3 linked regions of the Anolis sagrei genome follow. The protein of the gene in region 1 binds, or shares a complex with, the protein of each later gene. Links are inferred from orthologs where the notes say so. Each region holds a gene or a part of one and is shown on either strand. Other genes may lie near its edges. The genes, in order: PARD3, CDH5 and PTEN.

What was found.
Region 2: the proteins of PARD3 (region 1) and CDH5 are in contact, whole or in part, in an NMR structure (PDB 2KOH), measured with the Mus musculus proteins. The link is inferred for Anolis sagrei from reciprocal best matches to the Homo sapiens genes PARD3 and CDH5. Residues at the interface, in NP_296369.2 of Mus musculus: Ala599, Gly600, Leu601, Gly602, Val603, Ser604, Val605, Lys606, Gly607, Arg609, Lys611, Lys622, Ile625, Asn655, Gln656, Met659, Arg663, Met666; in NP_033998.2 of Mus musculus: Tyr774, Gly775, Asp777, Gln779, Glu780, Glu781, Leu782, Ile783, Ile784.
Region 3: the proteins of PARD3 (region 1) and PTEN are in contact, whole or in part, in an NMR structure (PDB 2K20), measured with the Rattus norvegicus proteins. The link is inferred for Anolis sagrei from reciprocal best matches to the Homo sapiens genes PARD3 and PTEN. Residues at the interface, in NP_112514.1 of Rattus norvegicus: Ala599, Gly600, Leu601, Gly602, Val603, Ser604, Val605, Lys606, Gly607, Asn608, Arg609, Ser610, Lys611, His614, Lys622, Ile625, Met659, Leu662, Arg663, Met666; in NP_113794.1 of Rattus norvegicus: Asp393, Glu394, Asp395, Ser398, Gln399, Ile400, Thr401, Lys402, Val403.

The regions. Positions count from the first base shown.
Region 1 is NC_090026.1:114,015,329-114,022,399, reverse strand, and holds the start of PARD3 (partitioning defective 3 homolog), read left to right. Parts: upstream 1-3,976; 5' UTR 3,977-4,283; coding exon 4,284-4,403; intron 4,404-7,071. UniProt on the Homo sapiens protein: Adapter protein involved in asymmetrical cell division and cell polarization processes. Seems to play a central role in the formation of epithelial tight junctions. Targets the phosphatase PTEN to cell junctions.
Region 2 is NC_090028.1:20,443,809-20,451,014, forward strand, and holds the start of CDH5 (cadherin-5), read left to right. Parts: upstream 1-4,137; 5' UTR 4,138-4,343; intron 4,344-7,206. UniProt on the Homo sapiens protein: Cadherins are calcium-dependent cell adhesion proteins. They preferentially interact with themselves in a homophilic manner in connecting cells; cadherins may thus contribute to the sorting of heterogeneous cell types.
Region 3 is NC_090023.1:182,601,072-182,608,317, forward strand, and holds the start of PTEN (phosphatidylinositol 3,4,5-trisphosphate 3-phosphatase and dual-specificity protein phosphatase PTEN), read left to right. Parts: upstream 1-4,142; 5' UTR 4,143-4,732; coding exon 4,733-4,811; intron 4,812-7,246. UniProt on the Homo sapiens protein: Dual-specificity protein phosphatase, dephosphorylating tyrosine-, serine- and threonine-phosphorylated proteins.

The sequences.
Region 1 (7,071 bases):
ACTCACAAGTCACCCAGCAAAATAAACACAGTTCCCCATCCTGTAACCAGAACCTGTGCAGGTTTCCTCAAATCTCTAAGAGGGCTTACTCACACTACATAATTATAGTGTTCTTATTCCATTTTAACTGGCATACTTCCATCCTGTGGGCTCCTGGGATTTTTAGTTTGGTGCACTAAAGGGCTTTGGCAGTTCTAAATACTGCTCACTAAACTACCTATAGAGAATTAGTGCAGCACAATGGTTTAAGTCAGGGGTCCTCAAACTTTTTAAACAGAGGGCCAGGTCACAGTCCTTCAAACTGTTGGAGGGCCGGGTTATAATTTGGAAAAAAATCCATGAATGAATTCCTATGCACACTGCACATATCTTATTTGTAGTGCAAAAAACACTTCAAAACAATACAATAATTAAAATGAATAACAATTTTAACAAATATAAACTTATTAGTATTTCAATGGCTGATGAGATGGGATTGTTGTTGTGGTTGTTGTTGTGGTTATGTGCTTTCAAGTCATTTCAGACATAGGTTGACCCTCAGCAAGGGCAGGGTAAATTACCTTGGAGGGCCATATCCAGCCCTTGGGTCTTAGATTGAGGACCCCTGGTTTAAGTGATTAACTATTTTTAAGGAGACAAGGGTTTGAATCCTTACTCTTACATGGGGACCGCCTGGGTGATTCTGGACAAGTAACATTCTCTCAGGTTCAGAGAAAGGTGAACTCAGAAATATGAAAGAGTAGAGCTTGTGGTCTACCTAGGTAAGTGTGAATGTTGCAATTAGCCACCTTGATTAGCATTTAGTGGCCTTGCAGCTTCAAAGCCTATCTGGTTGCTGCCTGGGGGGATCCTGTGTTGAACAAAATCTGGCTAGGTAAAGATTTTCCCCTGACATTAAGTCCAGTTGTGTCCGGCTCTAGGGGGTGGTGCTCATCTCCATTTCTAAGTTGAAGAGCTGTTGTAGTTCGTAGACACCTCCAACCATGCTGGCATGACTGCATGGAGCTCTGTTACCTTCCTGCCGGAGTGTTACCTACTGATCTACTCACATTTTGCGTGTTTTCAAACTGCTAGGTTGGCAGAAGCTGGGGCTGACAGTGGGAGTTCAAACCGCACCCCAGATTAGAACCTGCAACTTTTTGGAAAGCGAGTTCATGCAGCTCAGTGGACCTTGTCGGCTCTGTGGTCTAGAAATGGAGATGAGTACCACCCCACAGAATTGGACAAAACTGGACTTAATGTCAGGGAAAACCTTTACCTAGCCAGATTTTAACACAAAACATTTAGCTCATATACATACATACACATACACACACACTCACATATGTATATGTATCTCTGTGTGTGTATGTCTGTGTGTATATATACACACACGCAAACACACACACATACATACATACATATATATATATACATGTATATGTATGTAAAAGGTAAAGGTTTTCCCCTGACATTAAATTCAGTCGTGTCCGACTCTGGGGGCTGGTGCTTATCTCCATTTCTAAGCCAAAGAGCCGGCATTGTCTGTAATAATAATAATAATATAATAATAATAAACTTTATTTATACCCCGCTACCATCTCCCCAAGGGACTCGGTGCGGCTTACATGAGGCCAAGCCCGAAGTACATCAAACAACATCAATAACACAACATTAATAAACAATCAATAAAATACAAATCATATAAATCACATAACAAAAACAATAATCAATAATGACATATTAAAAATGGCCGGGCCAAATGTAATAGATTGAAATTGAAAATATGCTGACATGAACAGGCAACATGTAACTGGGATAGGATTTTTCAGAGAGAAACGAGGGAACGCAATCCATCCTGTCAGTATTAAAGTGCATTATGAGGGCATATTGCTGAGAGTTCTCCTTATTCTGGGAAGGCACACTGGAACAACCATGTTTTCAAGCTCCTCCTAAAGACCACCAATGTTGGGGCATGTCTAATGTCCCTGAGAAGTTAATTCCAGAGTTGAGGGACCACCACCGAGAAGGTCCTCTTTCTTGTCCGTAGACACCTCCAAGGTTATGTGGCTGGCATGACTGCATGGAGCGCCGTTATATATATATATATACCCATACATATATATATACACACACATATATACCTATGTATGTGTATGTATGTATATGTACATACACATACACTACATTCGCAGCTGACAATGGAAGCTCAGGTCACTGCTGCCAGCAAACAGGCCTTTTTCCATCTACGACAAGCGAGGCAATTGGCACCCTACCTATCTGATGAGGCTCTGGCAACAGTCATCCATGCCACAGTCACATCTAGGCTGGACTATTGCAGCGCCCTGTATGTTGGCCTTCCGATGTCTACGACCCGAAAGCTCTGTATTGTTCAGAATGTGGCAGCCAGGCTACTCACAAGAACGCCCATGAAATGCCATATAACACCAGTGTTGCGGCATTTGCATTGGCTTCCAACTGATTACTGTGGTCTATATAAGATGCTAGTTCTGACCTTTAAAATTCTTTACCGCCAGGGTCCATCGTATCTTAGGGACCGCCTCTCCTTCTACCATCATCGGAGGTCGCAACGACCATCCCAACTGACTTACTTTATATACCGGGTCCTAGAGAAGTGCACTTGGAAAGGACCAGACGCAGAGCTTTTTCTTCTTCTGCCCTGCCTTGTGGAATTCCTTGCCACCCTATATGAAAGCCATTAGTGAGTTAGAGCCTTTTACCCTAGCACTTAAAACCTGGCTTTTTACTAGAGCTTTTGATCTTTGTTAATTTTATCAATATCTGTATTTTTATGCTTTACAATTTTAGCTTGTAAATCGCCTAGAGCATCTTGGATGGAGGGCGATTAATAAGTAATTAAATGGTGATGATGAAATATATATGTACATATATATACATGTACATTTTTGAGTCTTAACTCCATATATATATATATATATATATATGTATGATCTTGGGGTCCTCGTGGACAACAAGTTAAACATGAGCTAACAAAAGCCAATGGGATTTTGGCCTGCATTAATAGGAGCATAGTGTCTAGATCTAGGGAAGTAATGCTACCCCTCTATTCTGCTCTGGTTAGACCACACCTGGAATATTGTGTCCAATTCTGGGCACCACAATTCAAGAGAGATATTGACAAGCTGGAATGTCTCCAGAGGAGGGCGACTAAAATGATCAAGGGTCTGGAGAACAAGCCCTATGAGGAGCGGCTTAAGGAGCTGGGCATGTTTAGCCTGAAGAAGAGAAGGCTGAGAGGAGATATGATAGCTATGTATAAATATGTGAGAGGAAACCACAAGGAGGAGGGAGCAAGCTTGTTTTCTGCTTCCCTGGAGACTAGGAACAATGGCTTCAGACTACAAGAGAGGAGATTCCATCTGAACACGAGAAAGAACTTCCTGTCTGCGAGAGCCATTCAGCAGTGGAACTCTCTGCCCCGGAGTGTGGTGGAGGCTCCTTCTTTGGAAGCTTTTAAACAGGGGCTGGATGGCCATCTGTCAGGGGTGATTTGAATGCAATATTCCTGCTTCAGAAAGTACACGGAATGATAGAATCATAGAGTTGGAAGAGGTTCCTGCCTCTTGCAGAATTCTGGGGTTTGTAGTTTTGTGCGCCTGTTCCAAGCTTCTTCCTAAACTACAAACTCCAGAATTCTGCAGGAGGCAGAAACCGGATTTGAAGTGGATTCCCCCCCCCCCCCCGCCCCCTAGTGTGATATTCTAGGATAGATCAGGCATGGGCAAACTTGGGCCCTCCCTCCAGGTGTTTTGGACTCCAACCGCCGGTAGGCGGTTAGGAATGGTGGGAGTTGGAGTCCAAAACAGCTGGAGGGAGGGCCCAAGTTTGCCCCTGCCTGGGAGGGGGGTAGACCTGAAATGTCCAGAGTGTCAACAAAAGAAAGAGGGGAGAGGTATCCAAAAGGAGCGCCTTCTCTTCCCTTAGGAGGGAAGGGAGGGAGGCGTGGGCAGGAGAGGCGGGCGAAGAGAAGGAGAGAAAGAGAGAGAAAAGGAGGGCGGCCCAGTCCGTGCGAAGGGACGCGGGAGGCGGGAAGGAAGGAAAGAAGGCAGGCAGGAAGGCGAGGCGACGCTGAACAGGTGGCCAGAGGCAGCGGGCAGGAAGGCAGGCAGGCAGGCAGCAGAGCCTCCTCCTTCTCCTCATCTTCCTCCTCCTCCTTCTTCTCCTCTTGTTGGCCCACAGCATGTGAAGGGCCATCCACCCGCGGAGGCGCCTTGACCCGCTCTTCCCTTCCTCTTGGGCCTCTTGGGCCGTGGGAGGGGAGGATGAAAGTCACGGTCTGCTTCGGGCGGACCCGGGTGGTCGTGCCCTGCGGCGACGGGAACCTCCAGGTGGGCAGCCTTATCGAGCAAGCCGTGACCAGGTACAGGAAGGCCGTGGCGAAGGTGAGTCTGGGGCTTTGTATCCATGTGTGTGTGTGCGCATTATTATTATTATTATTTATTATTTCATTCACTTATACCCCGCCCTTCTCACCCCGGGGGGGACTCAGGGCGGCTTACAGGGGAGGGCACAATTAGATGCCCGAACACATAACAAGTAATACAAAAAGTAATACATTCAGTTGGGAAGAAGAAGGGAGCCCGAGAAGAGCGCGCCCGGGATCAATATGGCGCTTCCTGGCCTGGGGAGGGCTGGCGAGGGAAGAGGGAGCAAAGTGGGCCAAAGGAGAGCCCTGGAAGGAAGGGCCAAAGGGACAGAGCCCTCTCTCCCCGACTTCCCCCTTCAGTGGGTTCCGGAGTTGGAGTCTCAGCTTGGCCACAATCCGTGGAATAGCGAGCGACTTGGAGTGGGAAACTTTGGTGTGGGAAACTCGTTCCCATTTGGATACTTTTCTGCAATGTTTTGGGGAGGAAAAGGCTTGGAATATGGCTTCTCCTCTTCCTTCTCTTCCTCCTCCCACCACTTTGGGACGAGCAGAGATTTCTCCCTCCTTCCCGGTGTTGTGTTTTGGGGGGGGGGGGGGGGCTGGCGTCGCGAGGAGTCCCGAGGTGTTGGTGTGTTGCCTTCAGGGACTGAACTCTTTGTTGTTGCTCCCGCCTGCCGCTCTTTGGGCTGCAGCAAGTGGTTTGCCCGGAGAGTAGGCTTCCCTTCTTTTCCCATCCCCCTGTCCTTTTCAAGAGCAGCCTTCCCTTCTTTTCCTCTCCCTTCCCTTCTCTCTCTCAGCCTCCGTGCTTTGCAGGCTTCCCTTCTTTTCCTTTCCTTCCCCCCTCTTCCCCCCCCCGCCTTTTCAAGAGCAGGCTTCCCTTCTTTTCCTTTTCCTTCTCTCTCTCTCTCAGACCCCATCCTTTGCAGGCTTCCCTTCTTTTCCTTTCCCTTCTCTCTCTCTCTCTCCCCTCCTCCCCGTCCTTTTCAAGAGCAGGCTTCCCTTCTTTTACCTTCCCTTCTCTCTCTCTCTCTCTCAGCCCCCGTCCTTTGCAGGCTTCCCTTCTTTCCTTTCCTTCCCCCCTCCTTCTCCCTCCCCCCCCCGCCTTTTCAAGAGCAGGCTTCCCTTCTTTTCCTTTCCTTCTCTCTCTCTCTCTCTCTCTCTCTCTCTGAGACCCCGTCCTTTGCAGGCTTCCCTTTTCTTTTCCTTTCCCTTCTCCCTCCCGCGTCCGTTTCTCCCGTGGAAGGAGAGACTTTCCACGCCGAGATCTTCCCCCCCAATCTCTCGAGGTTTTGGAAGGCGTCAGATCAGGAGAATGTGGAGCTTTTTCTAGTTTCCCAAGAAATAGCATAACAAGGAGGAGGGGAAAAAAGGGAGAGATGGCAGCACCTCATTGTCGCCAGCATTCGTAAATATGCTTTATACATACATATAAAGCATATTATTTACACAGAATTGGGACATCATGTGACAGGATCCTGAAAAAAAATGCAAATTATGCCCCTTGTGTTAGATTTTCAAATGTTTTCTGGAGGTGATACAACTCCTTTAGATCTTTATACTGTTTACTTCTCAAGTGCTTCTTGCAACTGTTGCAGAGTTGTGTTTCATAGTTGTTGCAAAGGTTTTTGTTCACAATGAGAGAGAGAGAGCGAGCCTTCTTTGACTCTTTCTCCCTTCCTTTCCTGTCCCTCCCTCCCTGCCATGGGACAAGTTTCCTCCTCCTCTGCCTTTCCCTCTCCACGAGCTGTGGTTTCTGCAAAAGGCTTGAAATCCAGCCCCAGGCTTTCCAGCCAGTCCAGGCCCAAAGAAGCAAGCAGGGAGGGAGTGAGGGAGGGACCGAGGGAAGGGAAACACTCCACCAGAAATCATGGAGTCCCCCCTCTGCCTGGGAGTGGAGTTCTGAGGCTGCTGGAGCATGTGCTCTCTTGGACTTCTGCCTCTTTTCAAGCTGGAAAACAAACTCCTTTATAACAAACCTATGGCGTTAGACCAGCGTGGCTTATCCTCCCCTTGTTTTGAAAAGAGCTCTTATTGGAAAAGAAACAGCTTTTGCTGTAGCGGTGTGGTTGTGCGTAGTTTGAACACTTGCGGTAATACAGACTCTCTGCATTTCCAGAAAAATACTCTCTCAGTGTAGAGGAGAGATATTTGTCTTGTTTCTGTGAAGGGGATTCAAACCATTATTACATTTCAGGAGGAACTGTGGCTGATGTGTCCTTCCAGAGAATCCAGTCTGTTACACACTAACTTGCCCTCCTACTCTGCTTGCATCATTCCTGGTTTTGTGTCCAGTCACCACTTCTCTCCATACAATTCATAAATATATCTGAAACAGGCCCAATTTTGGGGTAGGGGGAGGGGGAGACACATATAATTATTATTATTCAGCCTTGGAACAGTATGTGAGCATGTACAAAAAACATTGAGCGTCCCTGTATTGTCAAACTGAGATGTGAGCTTTCCCGGCTGTAAGGCCATGTTCCAGAAGCATTCTCTCCTGATGTTTTGCCTGCATTTATGGCAGGCATCCTCAGAGCTGGGGTTTTTTTTTGGTCGTGTCAGGAGCAACCTGGGAAACTGCAAGTCGCTTCTTGTGTGAGAGAATTGGCTATCTGCAAGGACGTTGCCCAGGGGACACCCGGATGATTTGATGTTTTATCATCCCTGTGGGAGGCTTTTCTCAT
Region 2 (7,206 bases), on another chromosome or scaffold:
TGTTGGCTATCCCTCCCAATTTGGTGTCGTCTGCAAACTTGATGATCATGCCTTCTAGCCCTTCGTCTAAGTCATTAATAAAGATGTTGAACAGGACCGGGCCCAGGACAGAACCCTGCGGCACTCCACTTGTCACTTCTTTCCATGATGAAGAGGAAGCATTATGATTCATAACAGTAGCAAAATTACACTTATGAAGTAGCAACTAAAATAGTTTTATAGTTGGGGATCACCACAACATAAGGAACTGTATTAAGGGGTTGCAGCACTAGGAAGGTTGATAGCCATTGCTCCAGGAGCAGAAATGAGACTGCTGGCACAAAATGCCTCAGTAACTCCACCTTTGCTACATTGTGATCACCATGATAACGGACGCTCACTAGAAAGGCACTCAACATCCTTCCTGTTTTCCCTCTCCATCCGGCTTGAGGAGAGATTGTGTCCTTTCTTTGGGGGAAAAGGAATTGTAAACAGCTTCTGCCGAGAAAGCTTTGAAAAATGTTCCCTCATTAGTTGCTTAACCTTCCTGAATAATAGATGCATCGAAATTTCTAAAAGCGCTATTTGTCTTTTGCTGTTGCTCTCATAAAAATATGATATAGTGTGAGTGGAGCTTCGTCTTTTCACACAAAGGGAGATCAGACTTCTTAAGCTGTAATGAAGAAGGGAGGTGAGGCCCTATTGAACTTGGAGTTGTTAGGAAAGTGTCCCATAAAATGGCTGCAGTTCCTTTGGCCATCTTTATAGTGTAGCAATGAAACCATTTACCTCAGCATTCCTCAACCTGGGAGTTGGGACCCCTGGGGGGGCCATGAGGGGGTGTCATAGGGGTCATCAAAGACCATCAGAAAACATAGTATTTTCTGTTGTTCATGCAGATTCTGTGTGGGAAGTCTGGCCCAATTCTATTGTTGGTGGGGTTCAGAATCCTCTTTCACTGTACTATAAATCCCAGCAACTATAACTTCAAAATGTTATGGTCTATTTTCCCCAAACTCCACCAGTGTTCACATTTGGACATATTGAGTATTCATGCCAAGTTTGATCCAGATCCATCGTTGTTTGAGTCCACAGTGCTCTCTGGATATAGGTGAACTGCAACTCCAAAACTCAATGTCAATGCCCACCAAACCCTTCCAGTATTTTCTGTTGGTCATGGGAGTTCTGTGTTTCAAGTTTGGTTCAATTCCATTGTTAGTGGAGTTCAGAATGCTCTTTGATTGTAGGTGAACTTTAAATCCCAGCAATGACAACTTCCAATATTTTTAAATATAGATCTTGGAGTCCTCGTGGACAACAAGTTAAACATGAGCCAACAATGTGATGTGGTGGCAAAAAAAGCCAATGGGATTTTGGCCTGCATCAATAGGAGCATAGGGTCTAGATCTAGGTAAGTCATGCTATCCCTCTATTCCACTTTGGTTAGACCATACCTGGAATATTGTGTCCAATTCTGGGCACCACAATTCAAGAGAGATATTGACAAGCTGGAATGTGTCCAGAGGAGGGTGACTAAAATGATAAAGGGTCTGGAGAACAAGCCCTATGAGGAGCGGCTTAAGGAGCTGGGCATGTTTAGCCTGAAGAAGAGAAGGCTGAGAGGAGATATGATGGCCATGTATAAATATGTGAGAGGAAGCCACAGGGAGGAGGGAGCAAGCTTGTTTTCTGCTTCCCTAGAGACTAGGACGCGGAGCAATGGCTTCAAACTACAAGAGAGGAGATTCCATCTGAACATGAGAAAGAACTTCCTGACTGTGAGAGCCGTTCAGCAGTGGAACTCTCTGCCCCGGAGTGTGGTGGAGGCTCCTTCTTTGGAAGCTTTTAAACAGAGGCTGGAGGGCCATCTGTTAGGGGTGATTTGAATGCAATATTCCTGCTTCTTGGCAGGGGGTTGGACTGGATGGCTCATGAGGTCTCTTCCAACTCTTTGATTCTATGATTATATATATATATATCTTTTTATTTGATGCATCCCAACAATCAACAAAAATTTTGCCATACAGAATTTATTTCAATATACATTATTCCAAAAGTAAATATTCCTTAAATGACATTTTATACATTCCTTAGTTATGTATCGCCCAACAACCCCTTTCCCCCCATCCCCCCCACCCTCCTGAAAGAGCAATTCTAAATCATGTCACGCAATGACAACTTCCAAATGACAAAATCCATCCTTCCCCCCAACCCCACCATTATTCAAATTTAGGTGTATTGGGTATTTGTGCCAAATTTGGTCCAGTGAATGAAAATACATCCTGCATATCGGATATTTACATTACAATTCATAACAGGAGCAAAATTACAGTTATGAAGTAGCAACAAAAACAATGTTATGGTTGGAGGTCACCACAATATGAGGAACTATATTGAGGGGGCGCAGCATGATGAAGGTTAAGAATCATTGAGTCAGGGCTTATTTTCAAGGCATATCTAATTTTTCCAAACTGACTTTTTTGAGAACTGTAACTAAGGCTTATTTTTTAAGTAGGGCTTATATTTCGAGCATCCTCAAAAATCCTGAAAAATCATGCCAGGACTTATTTTCAGGGTAGGTCTTATTTTGTGGGGAAACAGAGTATATTGAAAGAGCACTATATTCAGAAAGACAAAGCTATAGAGACCATTTTTGATCCAGTTGTTGTTGTTTATTCATTCTGTCGCTCCCGACTCTTTGTGACCCCCTGGAACAGAGCTCCCTGTCAGCCATAGCACCCCCAGTTCCTTCGAAGATCAAGCCAGTCACTTCAAGGATAACATCCATCCATCTTGCCTTGGTTGGCCCCTCATCCTTTTTCCTTCCATTTTCCCCAGCATCATCTCTTCTCCAAGGAGCCCCCAGTGGTGCAGTGGATTAAACTCCTGTGCCAGCAGGACTGAAGACCAACAAGTCACAGGTTCAAATCCAGGGAGAGCTTGGATGAGCTCCCTTTATCAGCTCCAGCTCCTCATGTGGGGACATGAGAGAAGCCTCCCACAAGGATGTATATTTATCGTGTCAGGCAACCAGACAATTGTATTACATTTCTAACAGAACAAAACAGACAGACAGACAGACAAAACACAAAATTTGCAAGCTTGGTAGTTGATTAAATGTCCTTTGACCAGTATCTGGCCATTTGGAGTGCCTCTGGTGTTACCGCAAGAAGGTCCTCCATTGTGCATGTGGCAGGGCTCAGGGTGCATTGCAGCAGGTGGTCAGTGGTTTGCTCTTCTCCACACTTGCATGTCGTGGATTCCACTTTGTAGCCCCATTTCTTCAGGTTGGCTCTGCATCTCGTGGTGCCAGAGCGCAGTCTGTTCAGCATCTTCCAAGTCGCCCAGTCTTCTGTGTGTCTCAGCCATTGGTTGAGGTTCTGGGTTTGAGCCTGCCACTTTTGGACTCTCGCTTGCTGAGGTGTTCCAGTGAGTGTCTCTGTAGATCTTGATTTAAGTCGTTGACGTGCTGGCTGATACCCAAACAGGGGATGAGCTGGAGATATCACTGCCTTGGTCTTTTCACTATTGGCTGCTACTTCCTGGCGGATGTCAGGATGATAAAACATCAAAACATCCGGGCGTCCCCTGGGTAACGTCCTTGCAGACGGCCAATTCTCTCAGACCAGAAGCGATTGCAGTTTCTCAAGTCGCTCCTGACATGACAAAAAAAAAATCTCTTCTCCAAGCTTTCCTGTCTTCTCATTATGTGGCCAAAGTACTTCATCTTTGCCTGATCCAGTATGAGACTATATTTCCACTGTTCTTCGGATTTAAGCCTTTTGCCTGCCGTAGGAAACGTGCAAAAGTTCTCTTTGGCCGTGTGCCTCAGTGGGCGAAAATGTTGAAACTAAACTAACCCTTAGGACCAATTTGCTGAGGAGTGCCAGAAAATGCAGGCCTCTCTTTTCAGAAATGTAATGAAATCCAGTTACTGATGTTGTATTACACTGATATCAAGGAATTCTTTCTTCCCATCTTTCTTTCTGTCAGTCTTGTTCCCTCTTTGTCTTTCTTCCTTCCTTCTCTCCTGAGGCTCTTTTTTTACTTGTTCCTCCCAGGCCCAAGGTAGTGAATTTAAAAAAAAATACTTTTTATCTGATTTCCTCCACACCCTTTTCTTTCCAGCATTACTAAGGCTTGGAACAATAACAGGATGCCGGGATGCAGGACGGGAAAAGGGCAGACTCCCAGCTGGGAAACCTTGGAGACTGGGAAGCCGAACACTCCCTGTATTACTCAATGCAGAGTAATAGTGGGTTGCATTATGTTCTAGATATTACACTTTACCCGGTCAGGACATAGAGAACATTACGTGGACAGAGGTAACGGAATTGTGTCAATTCGGATAAAGCCCAAGCCAGGTAAGAATCAAGGAAAAGATTGGGATATTGAAGGATTCTTGCTCTTGGTGCACTTGTTCTTGCCTAACTTGCTATGTCTCTTCCTCTTGGATGGCCATTTGTCAGGGGTGATTTGAATGCAACATTCCTGCTTCTTGGCAGGGGGTTGGACTGGATGGCCCATGAGGTCTCTTCCAACTCTTTGATTCTATGATTCTATGATTTAAAAGTTATGTTGGGATGGCTTTGTATTGCATTTTTCCCATCATGCCTTCCATAATTGCACCTACATTTCATTATTGTGTTTATTATTTCATAGTCAATTATTTTATGTTAAGTACTAGCTGTCCCCTGCCAGGCATTGCTGTGGCCCAATCTGGTGACCTGGAAAATGAAGTAATGAGAAAGTGTTGGTTTCTAATATATGTAATTCCTTTATGCTTGTGGGAAAACAGTACTTCTTGTTGTTTCTTTGTCAGTGTTGATGTGGAGAGTGTCTGGTTTGCCTACTCTGGAATATGCAACATATTATAGTCCTTCTTTAAGGGTCTCTTTCAAATCTATGATACTATATCTCTCTGTGTGTGAGAGAATCATATCTATCTATCTATATTTATGACTGGATGGCTCTTTGTCAGGAGGGCTCTGATTACATTTTCTTGCCCTGGTGAAGAGAGTTGGACTGGATGGCCTTAAGTATTTTCTGTTGGTCATGGGGGTTCTGTGTGGGAAGTTTGCCCCATTTCTGTGGTTTGTGGGTTTCAGAATGCTCTTTAATTGTAGTGAACTATAAATCCCAGTAACTACAAATCCCAAATGTCAAGGTCTATTTCCTCCAAACTCTATCTGTGTTCATATTTAGGCATATGGAATATTTGTGTCAAGTTTGGTCCAGATCCATCATTGTTTGAGTCCACAGTGCTCTCTGGATGTAGGTGAACTACAACTCCCAAACTCAAGGTCAATGCCCACCAAACCATTCCAGTGTGTTCTGTTCATCATGGAAGTCATGTATGCCATGTTTGGTTCAATTCCATCATTGGTGGAGTTCAGAATGCTCTTTGATTGTAGGTGAACTATAAATCCCAGCAACTACAACTGCCAAATGTCAAGATCTATTTCCCTTAAACTCCTTCTGTGTTCATATTTGGGCATATGAAATATTCGTGCCAAGTTTGGTCCAGATCCATCATTGTTTGAGTCCACGGTGCTCTCTGGATGTGGGTGAACTATAATTCCCAAACTCAAGGTCAATGTCCACCAAACCCTTCCAGTTTTTTCTGTTGGTCATGGGAGCCCTGTGTGCTAAGTTTGGCCCGATTCCATCATTGGTGGAGCTCAGAATGCTCTTTGATTGTAGGTAAACTATAAATCCCAGCAACGACAATTCCCAAATGACAAAATCAATTTTTTGAGTGGAGGACATACATTGGGTTATTAGGTGTCTTGTGTCCAAATTTGGTGTCAATTCCCCCAGTGGTTTTTGAGTTCTGATGGTAGCACAAACGAACATTACATTTTTATTTATATAGATGATGATGATGTATATGTTACTTGTTTCAGAAATGGTTTACAAATGCAAAACAATGGGAAAATAAGGCCCCTTCCATACAGCTGCATAAAATCCCACATTATCTGCTTTGAACTGGAATATATATGGACTCAGATAATCCAGTTCAAAGCAAATATTGTGGGATTTTCTGCCTTGATATTCTGGGTTATATGGCTGTGTGGAAGGGCCCTAGTTAACAGCTCTTTTGGGATATTGTCAGAATGTGATGGGCCAAATCAAGGGACCCTACAATTGTCCAGGATGTGTGGTTGCAAGCTGGCTTTATTGATAGCACCGCTGTGCTCAAATTGCATGGTTGGAGAAACATATCTACATTCAGAATATTCCCCATTCCAGGATGCTCATAGATTGCAAAATCTCATAAGACACTGAGCTGTGTTTTTGTGAAAGTGGCAGCATTTTAAATCATAACCCAAGGTACCAAACCACTGCCGGGAAAACTTTAAAACAGAACATGGAATATGGCCATACAGCCCGAAAAACTTAAAACAACCCAGTGATTCCGGCCATGAAAGTCTTTGACAATATATTTAAAACAGAAGTTGCAAAATAGTCCCATTCTCTAATCCAAAGTTTTCCAAACATTTTATTTATTATTTATTTATTTGCTTTATTTATACACCACTCTTCTCAACCCCGAAGGGGACACAGAGCGGTTTTGTGTTGGTGACACGTATTTTTTAGACAACGCCTCCTTTTGTGATGCAGCAATTCAGTTTTACTTGCAAACTGGAGGTCAAACCAATCTCTTATAGGAATGTATACTACAGATTGTGTGTGTGTGTGTGTGAGAGAGAGAGAGAGAGAGAGAGAGTCCCCATGGGCGCAGCATTTTAAATCACTGAGTTGCTGAACTTGCTGACTGAAAGGTCAGCAGTTCAAATCCAGAGAGCGCAATGTACTCCTGCTGTTAGCCCAGCTTCTGCCAACCTAGAAGTTCAAAAACAAGCAAATGTGAGTAGATCAATAGGTACCACTTCTGCAGGAAGGTGACGGTGCTACATGCAGTCATGCTGGCCACATGAACTTGGAGACATCTATGGACAACGCAGGCTCTTTGGCTTAGAAGAGGAGATGAGCATCACCCCCCAGAGTTCGACACGACTAGACTTAATGTCAAGGGGAAACCTTTACCTTTATCTTTACCTTTATATATTGAATATCTATCTATCTATCTATCTATCTGTTTCATATAATCTCTACTGTATAAATAAGGTTTGGATATTTTTTCCTTTACGCTTCCTTTACTACACTTGATTCTTGTGTAGTTTCTTGTATCGCCACTCCATGGGTTCATCACAAACATCATTG
Region 3 (7,246 bases), on another chromosome or scaffold:
CCACGTAAAGTGCATTACAGTAATCCAATCTGGAGGCAACTAAGGCATGTACCACGCTATACTATGCAGCCATGGGTGCCAAGGGGCAGTGCAGTCCCCATGCTGTATGCAAGGAATTGGGCAAACTTCATGCAGTCTTGGGCGCAGGGGTTGCACCATCTCTGTGTCCTGCATCCCTGGATGTCAAGAGGTTGTGCAATTCCAGCACCAACCCAAGTGCCAAGAGGTGTGTGATCTCCATGTCCTGCATCTCTGGGTGCCAAGGGGCCATTTAGTCCCCATGCCAATCATTCCTGGATGCCAGAGGTTGTACAATCACCATGTCTTTCATCCCTGGGTGCCAAGGGTTCATTTAATCCCCATACTATGCAGTTCTGGGTGAGAAGGGCCATGGAATCCTAATGCTATGTTTTCTTACGTGCCGGGTGATGTGCAATCCCCACCCACAAGGTATCCAGGGTCATGCTTTGCATCTCTGGACACTAAGGCATTGTGCAATCCTGATAGAATCACAGGTGCCAGGGGCCATGTAATCTGCATGCTCTGTATCCCTGGGTGCCAAGGGTTGTGCAATTCCAGGACCATCCCAGGTACCAGGGTTTGTGTAAACTTCATACCACGCATCCCTGGGGGGCTAAGGGATCAACCCCTATCCCATGCAACCTTGGGTACCAAAGGGTGGTATAATCCCCATACTGTGCAGCCCTAGGTCCCAGAGTTATGTCATTTCCATGCCACCCTGGGAGCTAGGGGTGGTGCAATCTCCATAGTATTCAGCCCTAGTAGGTACCATTGGGTTGTGCAATCTTCAGGCCACCCTGGGTACCAAGGGGCGCAACAATCCTCATGCTATGTACCCTTGGGGTCATCTCTCTTTTTAAATGTTTTTTTAAATTTAGTACAAACTAGTAGAACATAACCATTTTTTCTCGTGAGGAAGTTTAGAAGATAATATAGGTGACTTAAATAGTATATATATTTTTAACAATTTAACAAAAAGTAGATTAAAAATTCTATATTTAATAGCTCTTGTCCCCTACATGTATCCATCTCTTTTCCACTATTTCCCTTATTTTCCTCTGGGAACAGTCCTGCATTTCCTTTATCATTTATTCTATTCAGACAGCACAGTGTGACAAAGACAAGGACAGACAGACTGAAGGATAGCTTTTATCCTAGACCTGTGGCTATATTGAACTCAGTGGTTTTGCACCGATGTAGCATTGAAGGCTGTGTGGAGGTGGTGTGTTGTTTTGTGGTGCGTACAGGGGAAGGCATGTCATTTTGTTGTGCAATAGCGCAATGACAAATAAAGCTAGTCTATTCTGTAATCTCCATGCCATGCCATCCTAGTTACCAAGTCTCCACAATGCGTTGTAGGTTTTTCGGGCTATATGGCCATGTTCTAGAAGCATTCTCTCCTGACGTTTCGCCTGCATCTATGGTAGGCATCCTCACAGGTTGTGGATGACATCACAACCTCTGAGGATGCTTGCTAGAAATGCAGGCGAAACGTCAGGAGAGAATGCTTCTAGAACATGGCCATATAGCCCGTAAAACCTACAACAACCCAGTGATTCTGGCCGTGAAAGCCTTCGACAATACAATCTCCACAATCCTCATGCTATGTATCCATGGGGCTGTGCAATCCCCATGATGTGCATCCTTTGAGTGCCACATCCTGGAACAACAACAACAACACTTTATTTATATATCGCTCTATCTCCCCAAGGGGACTCAGAACGGTTTCCAAGTAACATAATCAATACATACAAGAAAAAAAGGCATAAACATAAAATTAACAAAACAGTATAAGCATTAAAACCACAATAGCACATATATTTAAAATAATCATGTCTGATCAAGGCAGTTTAAAAGGCCAGGCCAGGCTAATGTGATTTAGTCTATGGCTGTACATGTCTATGGCTATACATTTCCAGGGCCTAACAGAAGAGAGTGACCTGGGTAATTGGCAGAAGAAGATATGGCCAATTTCAACAGTATCTGGGGCAGAGCAAGAACTAGTCATTCTCAAAGGTTTGTTTAAACCACCAGGTCTTCAGGCTCTTACGAAAAGAGGGGAGTGATGGGGCCTGTCTTATTTCCCCAGGAAGGGTGTTCCAGAGGTGAGGGGCCACCACCGAGAAGGCCCTCTCTCTCGTCCCCACCAACTGTGCTTGTGACGGTGGTGGGAGCGAATGGAGGGCCTCCCCCGGAAGATCTTAAAGTTTGCGCCGGCTCATATGCAATCACAAAGACCCAACAGGAAGCAGTTCTGATTCTTGGTTGTTGTAGTTTTTTCTGGCTATATGGCCATGTTCTAGAAGCATTCTCTCCTGACGTTTCGCCTGCATCTATGGCAAGCATCCTCAGAGGTTGTGAGGTATGAGAGCATGGGCAAAGATTTATTTATTTATTTATTTATTTGGGGTGCTTCTACCCCTTCTCAACCCCCTAGGGCAGTAGTTCTCAACGTGGGGTCCCCAGATGTTTTTGGCCTTCAACTCCCAGAAATCCTAACAGCTGGTAAACTGGCTGGGATTTCTGGGAGTTGTAGGCCAAAAACATCTGGGGACCCCAGGTTGAGAACCATTGCTCTAGGGGGAACTCAGGGCGGCTTACAAAAGGCACAATTCGATGCCCAACAATTCACAAAATAAATATACAAAATTACAATATAGCGTCAACAGTTATAACTAGTTAAAACAATCAAGACGGTACAATAGCAGCAATAAAATCATCTTGTGGTCAATGTTCGCCAATTCATAAATCGGTAATCCATCTAACATCGTCATTGTCCTTTCCTACTCTGGTCATCATTGTCTTTGTCCATCTGCCAGCTTACCCAAAAGCCTGGTCCCACATATAGATTTTTAGCTTCCTTCTGAAAGAGAGGAGGGATGTTGATGACCTAATCTCCCTGGGGAGTGCATTCCATAGGCGAGGGGCCACCACCGAGAAGGCCCTGTCCCTCGTCCCCACCAGTCTCACTTGTGATAATGGTAGGGCCTAGAGCAGGGCCTCCCCAGAGATTCTCTTTGCCCACTGGTGCAAGGTCTCAACCCCAGACTGGACAGCCTAACCAGGGATTGCAACCAGGACAACAAAAGCCAATGTGAAAGGGTGGCTGCTAGGCCAATGCATCAATAAGCCTTGCAAGGAGGCTCTTGGGGACCAAAGGCACCTCCTGCTGCAAAAAAAAAGGGCCATTGCAAGGGGTGTACAATAGAAAAGGCTGTGATACTGATGCAAGCCCTCCCTTGGAAAGAAGTGGGGCAGAAGCAGCCTCAGCTCAGGAGGCGGAGGAGCGGGAAGTGCCCCCTCCCTTTCCTCTGCTTTACACCCGTCACGTGACTCCGGGGGGAATTAGCCCGTCATTGGGATGAGGCAATCGCCTGTGGGATATCCTTCCGCCGCTTCCGAACGTGTCCCTCTCTCTCTCTCTACGCCTGCGCTCCTCTTCTTCTTTTCCAGTCTAGGAGCAATCGCCCTTCTCGGCTTGAATCTGCTTTTGATGAAGGAAGGAAGAACGGAAAGAAAGGAACGGAAAGAAAGGAAGGAAAAGTCGGAGGAAGAGATTTGGAGGCGGTGATGTGGCGGCGGACTCCTTTTTCCTCCAGCGGCGGAGGGAGCTCACCAAGAGCGGAGTGATGCGTTCCCGCTGACTTTTTTTCCCCCTCCTCCTCCCCCTCCCCTCTCTCTTTCGGCGCTGTTCCTTTTTCTCCCTCCCCCTCCCCTCCTTTTCTCCCCCCCTCCCTTTGCTTCCTTTTTCCCTCTCGCTCTGCCTCTCTTTCGGAAGCTGCAGCCATGATGGTTGGCTGGCGCAAGCGAGGCTGCAAGTGAGCCTTGAAGGAGAAGAAAGTCAGGAAAAGGAAGAAAGGAAAAGAAGAAGAAGAAAAAAAAGGGGGGTGTCAGCGATTGAAGGAACAGCCGCTCTCTTGGAGACAAGGAGGGAGGGGGGAGGGAGGAGGGAGGAGGAGGAGGAGAGAAAAAAATCGGCTCGGCTCTTCTACGCGTGCGCGGCAGAAGGCAAAGAAGAAGGAAGGAAAGGGAAGGAAAGGAAGGCGACCCAACCGCCGCGCAGAGGAATGAGGCGAGGAGGCCGCCTTCCCCTCAGGACCTGAGAGGGCTATTTTATTGATTTTTTAATTCTGTTTCTCGGGCCCGCCCGCCTCCTTTTTCGTCCTTTTTTGTTTTTGCGTTTCCCGCTTTCGGAAAGCAAGGGAAGGAGCAACCTGCCTGCCCGCCCGCTCGGGCGGGTGGGGAAAAGCGGGCGAAGCTGCTGCCGTCGCCGGTCCTCCTGGAGCCCCGCCGCCGCTCGAGCCCGCGGGAGAGAGGAGGAGGAGGGAGCCTCGGCGGCGGCGGCGGCGGCTCCTCCTCAGTCTCCTCGGCCTCCTCCTCGCCTCAGGAAGCGACGCTCTCGCCGCCGCTGGGCCAGGCCGCGTCCGGGCCTTCGCCTGAAGAAGAAGAAGGAGGAGGAGGAGAAGCAGCAGCAGCCGCCTTACCGTCATCGTCTCCACCTTCTTCTTCGAGCCGCTCCGTGAGCAGCAGCAGCAGTCGCCGCCGCCGCCGTCCTCCTCACCGTTGGCGGGCCGAAGCGGGAGGGGGCCAGCCTCCCCCTCCTCCGCCTCCTCTGCCTCTTCCTCCTCCGCCGAGGCTCCGCGCCCTCTGCGCCCTGCAGCCGCCGCCGTGCTTGTCCGCCCTGTTCCTCAGCGGCTCCCGGCTCCCAGACATGACCGCCATCATCAAAGAGATCGTCAGCAGGAACAAAAGGAGATACCAGGAGGATGGCTTCGATCTAGACCTGACCTGTATCCCTCCCGTGGGTCGCCTTCGCTTGGATTGCGCCTTCGCCTCCTTTAGGGCCCTTCCACACAGCTGCCTTGAATTGGATTGCAGGGCAGTGTGGGCTCAGAGAATCCGGTTCAGATCCCCCTTCCATACAGCTGAGCAAAATCCCACATTTTCTGCTTTGAGATGGGATATATGGAAATGTGGATTCAGCTAACACAGGGCCCTTCCACACAGCCCTATATCCCAGAACATCAAGGCAGAAAATCCCACATTTTCTGCATTGAACTGAAATATATGGCTGTGTGGACTCAGCCCAGCTCAAAGCAGATATTGTGGGATTTTCTGCCTTGATATTCTGGAATATAGGGCTGTGTGGAAGAGCTCTGAGTATACTCAGATAATTTGGGATTTTCTGCCTTTATATTCAGGGATACAGAGCTGTGTGGAAGGGCCCTCAGTTAGAGTTATGGCAGTGTGGACTTGGACAACCCAGGGCCCTTCCACACAGCCCTATATCCCAGAACATCAAGGCAGAAAATCCCACATTATCTGAGTGTGGACTCAGGGCTCTTCCACACAGCTGAATAAAATCCTACATTTTCTGCTTTGAACTGGAATATATGGCTGTGTGGACTCAGCCCAGTTCAAAGCAGATATTGTGGGATTTTCTGCCTTGATATTCGGGGATATAGAGCTGTGTGGAAGGGCCCTGGATTAGGGTTATGACAGTGTGAACTCGGACAACCCAGATCCCTTCCACACAGCCCTATATCCCAGAACATCAAGGCAGAAAATCCCACATTATCTGAGTGGACTCAGGGCCCTTCCACACAACTGAATAAAATCCCACATTTTCTGCATTGAACTGGAATATATGGCTGTGTGGAGTCAGATTGGCCAGTTCAAAGCAGATATTGTGGGATTTTCTGCCTTGATATTCTGGAATATAGGACTGTGTGGAAGAACTGAGTACACTCAGTTATTTGGGATTTTCTGCCTTGATATTCTGGAATATAGGGCTGCGTGGAAGAGCTCTGAGTACACTCACATAATTTGGGATTTTCTGCCTTGATATTCGGGGATATAGAGCTGTGTGGAAGTGCCCTGGGTTAGGCTTATGGCAGTGTGGACTCCGACAACCCAGGGCCCTTCCACACAGCCCTATATCCCAGAACATCAAGGCAGAAAATCCCACATTATCTGAGTGTGGACTCGGGGCCATTCCACAGAGCTGAATAAAATCCCACATTTTCTTCATTGAACTGGAATATATTGCTGTGTGGACTCCGATAGCCCAGTTCAAAGCAGATATTGTGAGATTTTCTGCCTTGATATTCTGGAATATAGGACTGTGGAAGAACTCTGCGTACACTCTGATAATGTGGGATTTTCTGCCTTGATATTCTGGAATATAGAGCTGTGTGAAAGGGGCCTGGGTTAGGGTTATGGCAGTGTGGACTCATACAACCCAGGGCCCTTCCACACAGCCCTATATCCCAGAATATCAAGGCAGAAAATCCCACAATATCTGAGTGTAGACTCAGGGTCCTTCCGCACAGCTGTCTTGAATTGGATTATATGGCAGTGTGGGCTCAGATAACCCAGTTCAAAGCAGATATCGTGGAATTTCCTGCCTTGATATTTGGGGATATAGAGCTGTGTGGATGGGCCCTGGGTTAGGGTTATGGCAGTGTGGACTCAGATAACCCAGGGTCCTTCCACACAGCCCTATATCTCAGAATATCTGAGTGTGGACTCAGGCCTTTCCACACAGCTGAATAAAATCCCACATTACCTGCTATGAACTGGATTATATGGCAGTGTGGTCTCGAGAATCCAGTTCAGAGCAGATATTGTGGGCCCCTTCCATACAGCTGGACAAAATCCCACATTTTCTGCTTTGAGGTGGGATATATGGAAATGTGGTCTCAGCTAACCCAGGGGCCTTCCACACAGTCCTGTATCCCAGAACATCAAGGCAGAAAATCCCACATTATCTCAGTGTGGACTCGGGACCTTTCCACACAGCTGAATAAAATCCCATATTTTCTGCATTGAAATGGAATATATGGCTGTGTTGACTCAGATAACCCAGTTCAAAGCTGATATTGTGGGACTTTCTGCCTTGATATTCTGGGATATAGGGCTGTGTGGAAAGGCTCCCAGAATATCAAGACAGAATAATCCACAGTATTGGCTTTGATAATGTGGGATTTTATTCAGCTCTGTGGAAGGGCCCTGGATTATTTGAGTCCACACTGCCATATAATTGCAGTTCAATATGGATTTTATACAGTTGTGTGGAAGGGGCCCTTGTGAAACTTCACCTTCCTGAGGGAGGAGGGGCTGTTGGAAAAGTGCTGTCAAACTGTATATTGATGCAGAGAGGTCAAGGGCTCTCCCACACAGCCCTATATTCATACAACTCACGGCCCTTCCACACAGGTCTATA